2 linked regions of the Drosophila melanogaster genome follow. The gene in region 2 interacts genetically with the main gene of each other region. Each region holds a gene or a part of one and is shown on either strand. Other genes may lie near its edges.

Evidence for each region.
Region 1: of Ork1 (region 2) and Ih, changing one suppresses a phenotype caused by changing the other (phenotypic suppression), as found in Drosophila melanogaster (one study listed by BioGRID).

The regions. Positions count from the first base shown.
Region 1 is NT_033778.4:14,274,030-14,279,256, reverse strand, and holds the start of Ih (I[[h]] channel), read right to left. Parts: upstream 3,128-5,227; 5' UTR 2,731-3,127; exon of another isoform or gene 1,977-2,730; 5' UTR 1-1,976. Other genes in the region: conv (convoluted), read right to left, coding at 4,385-4,778, 4,841-5,227.
Region 2 is NC_004354.4:10,887,754-10,892,992, forward strand, and holds the start of Ork1 (open rectifier K[+] channel 1), read right to left. Parts: upstream 3,068-5,239; 5' UTR 2,579-3,067; intron 1-2,578. UniProt on the Drosophila melanogaster protein: Background potassium channel. Rectification is dependent on external potassium concentration. Acts as an outwardly rectifying channel but as external potassium levels increase, this is reversed.

The sequences.
Region 1 (5,227 bases), on a different chromosome or scaffold from region 2:
ATTTTTGGCATTAACTAATACAAGTCCAGCGCACACGGACACGTAAACAAAAATTAATTGCTTTTCGTTGTGTTACTCTCTTTCTTCTTTATTCGGGCTGTCTCACTCGCACATGGGGCTGTTCGCCGTTATCCGTGTTTTAAGGTTTTAGGTTTTAGGTTAGGTTAGGTTTTCGATTCGTTTTTGGTGGGTTCATAGGTGTTTGGTTGAGTAACGTAGGTTGGGTGAGAAGGTATCGGTATCTAAAAGGTGGCCTCTAAAATAGTCAACAGCACTGTTTATATTGCTTATGGTTCTTCACTTTTCGTTTTGTTTCGTTATGCGCTCGTTTTCGTTTCTTTGAGGTTATGTGACTCTATGACACTATCTGTTTGAGTTGCGTGTATAATAATACCATATGTTACTATTTATAGTTTAGCTTTTGTTTGAGTTTTAGTTTCGTACTTTGTACTCTGGATTATAAATGACGTTTATCCACTAGGGTATAGTTATTGTTGCTATTCGGTTGGTGGTTGCTGGTGTACAGATGTGATGGTGGGGCCTGGAACTGGAGCTGGTACTGTAACGATAACGATAACGGTAACGGTAACTGGAGCTGAAGTGGGGTGGGCAGGATCGGGATCCGAAATGTGGATCACTGAATAATTTATCACAAATAACAAACTAGCTGTTGGAGGGGATGGGACAGTGATGATGACAGCTCAGTTTCCTTGCTCCGAAATGTATGCTATCCCGCCTGGCCTTCCAACCTGGCTTCTGGCCACGCCTCTCCTCCACCTCCTCCTCCCTGCTTAAGTTAATGTTTGGTCATGAAAGTTTAACGAACGCACCGCAGTTTTGGCTTTGCGGTCGCCCTTTATTTTCTGTTTTTTTTTCACTTTTGTGGCAAATGGAAGCGACGCGAGTTAAGGCGGAGTTACGTCAAGGCAGCGCAACACGAGAAACCCAAAGCAGGTAGCTTTAATTCGTCCTGTACGTTCGTATCACTCCTCCTCTGCGAGTCCACGGATTACGGCTCTGGGCGTATTTGTGTATCTGACACGAGCAACACGCAAAGGATCCGGACCCGGCAACAGTCCCTCCTTGGGACTCCGTGTGGCGACGTCCTTCGTCACCCAATTAATGCATTAATATCGCCCTCGTTACTTATTCAGATGCAATTTGAAAGGCCTAGGTCGAGGGCGGGGATCCAGTTTTGCATTAGCGGCATTATAAAAATAAATCCATATAGGTAGATGTACAGACTGGCGCTTTTCGTCTAATCGCTACGGCTAAGTATCTTGTATATATCTCGTAGGTGTATAAATATATATATAGGTATATATATTGTATATAGAGAGGCAACTACTTGGTAGTTTTAGTTAGTCGATAAGTGCGTTTATGTTGCGGTTATTTGAATTTGCTGTCCTACAGGCTGAGACGCAGGTCTCTCTACAAACTACGAGGTTAGTTCCATTACACTATCTCAACGGGGATTACGCTCTATATCCTTGGGCTGTATCGATAACTTCCAGCGGTGAACAAACGTCAACGAACTACTTTAATTTATTTGCTTTTTTGCGTTGTTTTTACTGCGGATAGCGTTTATCGTTTATCTATAGCACTTTTGTATATAGCGAGTGTCTTTTTGTATATTTCTAAAAGTAATTCTAATCTTGGGCTTGCTTGTCTGGGTTACGCCTTTAAGATTTGCTCAATTTCATTGTTGCAGGTACTTTGGTTTTGGTTTTATCATTACGTTCTATTTTTGGTTATCGCGTGTCCTTTATTTTTAGGCGTTTCCAGGGTTTTTCCACTTGCTGACTGACTCTGGCGTTGATTAAATAATGCTGCACTTTGCGCTGATTTATCGTGTTTGCTTTCGTGTCCTTGTTTTCGCTGGTTTCCGCTTTTGTTGCTCGTGTTTTTTTTTTTATTTATTTATTCGTGTTTGTCTCTTGTCTTTTTATATTTCCTTATTTTTTTTGCCAGTCGTTCTATTTGATTATGTAATTATGCTTGGTTTCTTATTGGATATTGAACGGTACGTGTGTCCTAGGGCTATGTATGGGCGTGTTTGTGTGTGTGTGGTGTACGGTTGTGTTGGTGTGTTACATGCGATTTTTTCAGCTGCTGCGGCTGTGTTTGTCGTGGTTTCGTTGGATTCGTGGGTTGCGATAGACGTAAGTGGTTCGTCATCAACATTTTTCGCACATACATACACGATTCACGGGCGCCACACGGGGCATTGCGTCTGTGCGTGTGTGCGTGCGTGTGCCAGTGTGTGTGAGCGTGTGTCCTGGTAGATGGAATTTATTGAATGAAACGTCAAGCGATTTGACGAATTTTAAACAAATTATTTATAACACACAGAGACACAGGAGGCACGCACACGCAAATATTGCGAGAGAGGCACGCACAGACACAGTTCACAGTCGTGGCACGAAGAACGGCACAGGACACACAGGACACACGGTGGGTGGCACTGGTAGTGGTGGTGGTGGTGGCGTGGGTGGTGGGAGAACAACAAGGAGGAGCCGACGAAGAGAAAGCCAAGAGGAGTGGAGCTGAAAGTGGGAGGAAGTGCACACGTTAAATCAATGCTTCTTTTGACCTCTATTACAATTTCGTTCGCTTTCGTCTTTCGCCATCTTTCCTCCTCCCTCCTACTGCTCCTTCTCCTCCAATAGCTTGCTCCACCTCGTCCTCGCCCCTTTGGAACTTCTCTTTTTTTCCCGAGCCCACGACTACCTGGTAATTTTTTCAACGCCCGTGTTACGGCACATTTAATATTTCATATTTTCATATATGTTGGGCTCTATACACCAGATACACAGTCGCTGGCTCACCAAATGCACATTATTTCATTACTTTTCCTTGATTTCGTTTTGATTTCACTTGGCTATTTTAATTTATTTTTTATTGGGTCGCGCTGGCTCCTTTCGTTTAAATGTTTATCACAATGCTGCTTTCGCTGAATGCTGATTTATGCCATTCGCCACCGAGCAGCGCACTTAAACTTGCTATTTGAAATTTCTTCTTTATGTAACGAACGGAATAACGGCACACTCGCTGCTGCTGCTGCGACTGCTACTGCTGCTGCGACTGCTGCTGCTGCTGCGACACGAACGAACTCAGCGCGACAAGTGAAACTTGGCTTCCCGATTCGCATGCCACTGACGTGCGCCGTGGTAACAGAAACAGAAGCAGAAACGGCCGAGCCGAGCCCGCGAGATTCGCTGAAAATCGATAAGGACAGGCAAAGTCGCCTGCCAAAATCCTAAGGAGGAGGCGGCGGGGGCAGGAGGACCAGGATGGCAAAGGCGAACGGCACAAAAGCACATTCTTCTGCGGCCAAAGTGAAACCGAGAGCATGTGGGTGGCGCGCGGCAGTGAAAGTGCACATGTCCTTAGTGTCTCGTGTCCTGCGGCACAGTGGAGGTTCGGTCGAATTGATAGGTCCTTTGGATGCTCCTTCAATATCTCCTGGAAGCTATCGAATAAGGTAGGGTGTAATACACACATGTATTGATCAGAAATTACCTCAGTAATAAAATCCAAAAATTAAAAACAATCTTAATTGCTGTACCTTTACATTAAATTTGTGTTGTATATATTTAAGAAATAATAAAGCTTTAAAAACATTGCTAACGTATGTATATTTCCCCCCTGGTAATAAATTAAATATATTCAGAACAGGAAACTGTAGAGCCAAATAACAAAAACAATAGCATAATTCTAGGAGCATGCCGATACTGTAGCTGTGCAAACAATTTCGACCGCCAGTGTGCTACTCGCATGCCTTTTCGGTTGAGAGCGCGAGTGCGCATTTGCCAGGCTCTCAGGCGAGTCCTTTCACTCGCTCGCAGTCCTTTTGTCCGCTCCCGCTGCACAAACAGGAGCCGAGTCCGAGTTGAGAATGAATCGCCGCGCCGAAGAGCACTTCGGATTACAGCCTTTGTGTTTTCGCCCTGAATGAAAGTCAGCCAGCCTGGGCCATCAGCCATCAGCTGGCCCGTTGGGTTGGCTGTGGGCTCCAACGCTTTCTGAATTGCGCTGCCCACGCGAGGCGGCGTCCAAGTAAACAAATACATGTGCGCACGGCTGTGATAATAGGGCGTCGCGCACATGTTCAGCTGTAAGGTCAGAGCACAGCGTGTCCTTACAGTGAGCCATGGCCACAGCGACACACACTAGCAAACGGCCAACAATGGGATCAAAGATCAAGGACAATCTGATCTCTTTTCAAGATTCATTTTATCACATCGATACGAACTTAAAACGATTTTTACATACATAAAGTGCACAATTTGTAACTTGAAGACAATCAGTATTACAATCATTTTCGAGTATAGTTATCTACTTATTAAGAAAATAATCTTGGTGCACAGTTTTCCCATGCTAACTACAATCTGGCAACAAACAAAACGAGTATTATATACAAAAGGCAACGAGGTAGGCTGCTGGAGGTCCGGGAAACGCCACCGCGGACCTGAAAGTTTCCGAAGAAGAAAGTCCGGGGCCGCTTCAGCGAAGGTAGCTGCTGGCACTGCCCGGAGAACCACTTGCGCGTATTTCCATCGCTATCCCGGGATACTATACATATCTCAGCGCCTCGAAGTTTCTCTTCTCCCAGCGTCGATAGCTCTTCCACCGGGATTTGGGCAGTACGATTGTTATAGGCATAGTCCGACTGGTGAAGCACATCGTTGCTACTGCTTCGGATATAAACGTGGAAGTCTGAGACGTCTGAAAAGCCGGAGACATACCAGCATAGGGTCAACATGCCCGCTTTGTTGCTATTTGAAAAATGTACAAGGATTATAAGTTACTTTAAGTTCAAACTGCAAAATATGCATACGTTTTCACTTCTCGGAATCGGACATCTGTAAGCTGTTCATAGTCAATGCCCTTATACATCTCCTGCTCATCCTCGGCGCAGTGCAGATACTCATCGTCCAAAGATATAAGCTGCTTGTCCTTGATCAAAGCCGGCGTTCCGCAGTAAATACTCTTCAAATCCTCTCCAGCTATCGTTTGCTGCAGCATAAAGTATTTCAACGGTCGTGCATTGCATCCGCAGTGCAGAGGATTTCCGGCCAGAAGTACTTGGCTACCATTACGCATGCTGCCCACTATCGAAGCGGGCACATCCTCCAGACTATTGTTGGTAAGATCAACATATTTCAGGGATTTCACTTTCACCAGATTGGCGAACGGCAAGTGGTAGATTTTGTTGTGGGAAAGG
Region 2 (5,239 bases):
GGGCTCTATTGGTTCTATTTTCAACGCTGATCTACTATCGCCGCGTATCGGTAAAGTCTTCTCATTACACGCTTGATTACATTGGGACAATTCGAATTGTTTATTCCCGTTGTTCAAGTCAAGTGATCGCTGATAACGATTCTACGCTACGCTGCCTTTTGTTCTGCAACAGTTTTAATTATTATTATCGCTTCTTACTGTATAATTTCTATTAAATTATCTATGGAGTAGTCTTGTGTTTTTTTCTGTTTATTTATTTTTTTTGTTTTTTTCGCTACATGATGGCTATTTGGCTATTGCCTGTATTCCCGCTGGCAACTAAAAAGCAACTACGGCGACTACAATAATTTGTTAACAATAAAATAAAAAGTCGTCTATTGGGCTCGTTCCTCGAGCACTGACTGGCTGGCGATGACGCCGTTCAATGGAAGTCTTTTCATTTATTGTGTTTCCTTTTTTTTTTATGTTTTTATTTATTCCGAACAAACATTTCGATGACGCTGTGTGTTCCCAAACGCGATCTTTTTAACGCTTTTTTTTCCTCCCTTTTTTGTTTCTTTTTTTTTTGGGCTTGCCCTCTTGGAATTCTTTTGGAGTGGAAAATTCTGCCAAAAAGTTTGCGGAAATAACTGATAATCGAATCGGGTTAACAGTAAATTAGGATCGTTATTTCATAAAATACCAAATATGGCAGAAGGTTAATATTAATCCCAAAAGTGTATAGGCTTGCTCATAACTTTCACGAGACCCGTGGAAATTTCGCAGACAAACACCCCCACTCACAACTCACAACACACCCGTCGTAAAGCCATAAAATGGAGCCACTCTTTATCGAACCGAACCCAAGACGAACCCAAATAAAACCCTGATAATCATGTTCGATGATCATGTAAATGAATTAAGTCAATGTTTGACGTCAAGTGGTGTAGACAACAGAACATTTAATATGACAATAAAAGCATTTACTAATTGATAGCCCACATACTCCAGTTCATGGTGATCGTTGGGTATTTTTGGATAGATCGCCGAAGGATCGCTAGATCACTATCACAACGATCCAGGGGCACGTGCATCCCCAGAGTATTAAAAATTAAAAATCGAGAACGGAGAATTGAGAACTGAGAAGCCCGTGTTACGTGCAGAATTGGCGGGGAAGTCGTACGGACTACGGTCGTATATTATGTGAAACAAAATTAATAAATAACAAAATATTTACATATACCGACGCTAAATAGTCGTATAATCAATAATAAATAGCAGCAACTGCAAAATGAACACGTTTAGTAAATAATCGCAAAAGTCGTCAAGCGTCAAAAGCCGTGCTGTGCTTTTCTTTCGTTATTTTTCTTTTTTTTTTTTTTCTTTTCCAATTTTCAATTCTTCCCGGAGAAAGATGAGTAAAAATCTAGGGCGGGATGAGAGGGGTGTCGAATAAGGCACAGAATCGCAAGCATTGTGTCCGGAGTCTGAAAAATCTGGGTGGAAATACCAGGCGGGCCTGATGAGCCTATTGGGTGCTAATGATGACATTGTTTTACAAGCCGGCGCGGCAAGATGATTAATTGAATTGCGATCTATCAATGTCTCGTTTCCTCCGTCAGTCTCGTCATCGTCTTAGTTGGTGCTTCTGGTTTTCCTTCCTTTGATAAGACTACGTCAGAGCTTCGAGCTATACACGGCAATTAAAGGCGACAGTTATGTGTCCATAACTGCATAAAAGATTGGATAGAATTCTTAATTTTTAGCTTGCAAATCTTGAAACTATAATAATGACTTTCTATCGTTTTGTGTTTGTCTGCAAGTGATATAGTTTTTGTGATATACATATATGTATTTTTTTAACTTTGAAAATTGTTATTAATTTTAAACATTACGATTAATTTTGGAAATATTTCACTAACATGGATTTAGTATTTAATATCATTCCTATACATGTATTGCCGATTGGCCTTTATCCAGCAACCGAGTTAACAGAGTTACCAACTAACTGAACTGATTGACGAACCGAACGGATCTATAGTTTGGGCCATATTTGCTTATAACCAAATGCCCCATGATGGATGATGTTGGCCTAACATTCTTGAGCCCTCTGCCAATCGGACTGATCGATAACAGATACATAACTGGTTGCCGTTATTTGCGCTGACTACTGCTAACGGTACATTCGTAGCGGGCGTACGTAAAACGTTTTTGCATATGGTAACAACAGTTAAGCAAACACTTTTGCACTGTGAAACAATTTCGTTAATTAAATGCATTCATACTACAGATACCGTTTCGGAGGTGCGGCACTGATTGATTTACCGGATTTTGACAAAACACTCTAAAAAAAACAAAACCTATCCGAGTTAAACAGAATGTTTAAGATTAATGTCATTAAAGGTTCTTGTGTGATAGTATCATTGAGTTTGGCTAAGATTTCTGATATGTAAGAAAAAGACTATTTTTGTAAATGTAGAATCGAACTTAATTTTTTAAGAGATGCACATGGACTTTTTCCGCGAGTGTAGACAGCGCGTCTGAAGTGGGGCGCACATGCGAATCCGATCGTTTAGATTGGGCCCAGAAGAACTCTAACCTGTGCACTATATGTAATCGTTTCGATTCCGGGCGTGCAATGGATCGCGCTCTTGCTCCTCTCTTCGTGGCCCACTCAGATAACGCCGTGCAAGGTGACCACGGGAACCACACCAAAAATTAATGACAGTCACACGGATGGAAGAGATTTGTAGGTTGGGTGGCTTGGCGATAATGTGTGTTGTTTACAAGTGCACTGATATTAAATTGAATTCCTTCTGGTATTCCTTCTTTTTCATTTATTTGCAATTATTCTTTCCGTTCCATTCCGATCCTCTTAACTTTTATGCTTCACTTTCAGGATACCCACGATCAAAAATTGTTGAAAAAAAAAATAAACACTCGCAGGAACCGTTGGCTTTCGCCTTTCGCTGTGTGGTTTGTAGTTTTGACTTATTATTTTTTTTTTCTTTTAAAGAGAATCGCGAAACACTGAAGACTGAGCTAAAAAAAAAATATACACTCGCGGCGATCGCGTCGCAGGACCGTTACCGTTACCGGTGCTCGCTGAATTTGATGTGAAAAATGGAAGGTTGACACTTTTTGTTAACGGTGACGATCGCTCCGTCGCTTCTCGATTCCCGTAACCGTTCTGATTTAAATGGAACGCTCTGCTCCAAGCTCACGTCGGTTTCCAGTCTCTGCCGGCGTAGGCGTAGGCGTCGACGTCGCTGCCCGCTAACCGCTATTTCGGTTTCTTTTTCGCTTTTCCGTTTCGTTTTCGACAATTTCCAGCCGAGCTTTAAACTTAAAGTCGCCTTCTCTCTCCGCCCGTTTCCCGTTTTTCCGGAAGGAGCTTCACCGTTACATTACTACCAATTGGTTACTTCAAAACGAGCTCTCCTCGGAGTCCGGTACTTAAATTATAAAAAGAAATCAGAGCGAAGAGCTCAAAAGCGCACGGCAAGCGAACAAGCGGCATTAATACAATTCAACCAGCTCCTTTAACTGCCGATCGGTGAGTTAGTTCACTTATAGATGTGTATGTATGGGGTTGTGTGCACTGTACGTGTGATCTCTAATCCAGTGCTCACTCACATTGAGCTCTTCGCTCATAAAACAAGAACAAGACTGTTGGGAATCACTCAAAGAGGTGTGTGAGTGGCTTTTTTTTCGAGTGTGCGGGTGGGGGAGCCCCACCCCCAGCCCTGAACTAACTAAACGGAACTGAACTAAACTAAATCAAGTTGAAATGCCGATCGACAAACGGCAACTACGAAATTTGCCAGCAGTGCTCAGCCCACTAACTGCCTGCCCCCAACCTCTCCCTCCACCTCCACCCAACACCACCCCCCCCCCCCCTCAAACCAACCAAAATCGATCGTCGCAAAAAAGAGATACTGTGTAGTAACCAACGGAATATGGGTTTAGTACAGTGGAGCAAATCGTCGCCAGGATTGAACAACACATCTCAAGATCTTAATGAAAATTAGATTATGTTAAACTTAATATATTAATAAAATTCTTAATTGTTATATAATTCTATAAAACTTTCTGAGCTCCCTATTCCATCCTATGAATCATTGAATATAACAATAAAAATATATTTTTCGATTGATAACATTTCAACAACATTTCCTATAAGCCATAAAATTCGACCCTGACATGCCCATTTAATTAACGTCAAAAACTCGATTTTATACAACCCAATTTAGTAAAAGATATCTACGGTTAAGAAAATGTGCACTCATTGGGTATTTCTTGTTACAGTAATCTTTATTGCAAATGGTTTGATTTTAAGGAAAACGTTTATTGTATCTAAATGGTTAAACCTAAGGATAGGATAGATAGATAGATAGATAGGTGGGAAGGATATTCATATATTGAAAACTAACTAAATCATCTTGATCAAAGACACTATTTCTTATTGCTATTGTGTGCTTCGGATGTGAGGATCACTTCTCACGGCCCACTGTGTGCTCTGTTTTTGCTGATCAGCTTGACCAGCGACCTTTTTTAGAATCTACGGAGCATGGGCCACATCCCCACCCAAAATTGGGCGCATAAAAACCTTACCCATGGCGCCAACGCCATCGCCACTGCCACGCCCACCGACGAACCGTCAAGCCCAAAAAAAAAAAAAACACACACCTAAACGTGCGTTGTCAAAAAAAAAAGAAACAACCGAAGCAACCACAATCACAATCGCAACCAACGTAAATAATTTGTCTACGGATTTTAGTGCTTTACGACGGGCACTAGCCGAGCGCAAACTTAAATCGTCAAACGGCAGACGAGCCACCCCAATAGACCGATCCACACCCACCCGCTGAACCAGCGAGCCACCAAAACAATCACCTGGTAGCACGTTACTACCCACCATCATCCCACCTTGATCTTGGGGCTCAAACCACCTGATTCTGCCATCGTGGAAAGTATTCACTGTCAATGCCATTGTCAATAAAGAAGAACCCCCGTCGATCGGCATTGATGGTTAAAGGGAATTTGATTTCTAGGTACCCATAGATATGTTCAGTAATACCATGTTCAAGATCACTTGAGTTGAGTGGTAAGCATAGGTTTTTGGTGTGTTCTTTGATTTCAAGGTGCTTACGAAAGAGATCGAAGATCTTATATTATCCTTCTATGAACTCATAGCTAATAGACAATTAGGTTTAATAATAAAAAATATAAAAAAAAAAAAATTCAGAAAGTTCAGAAA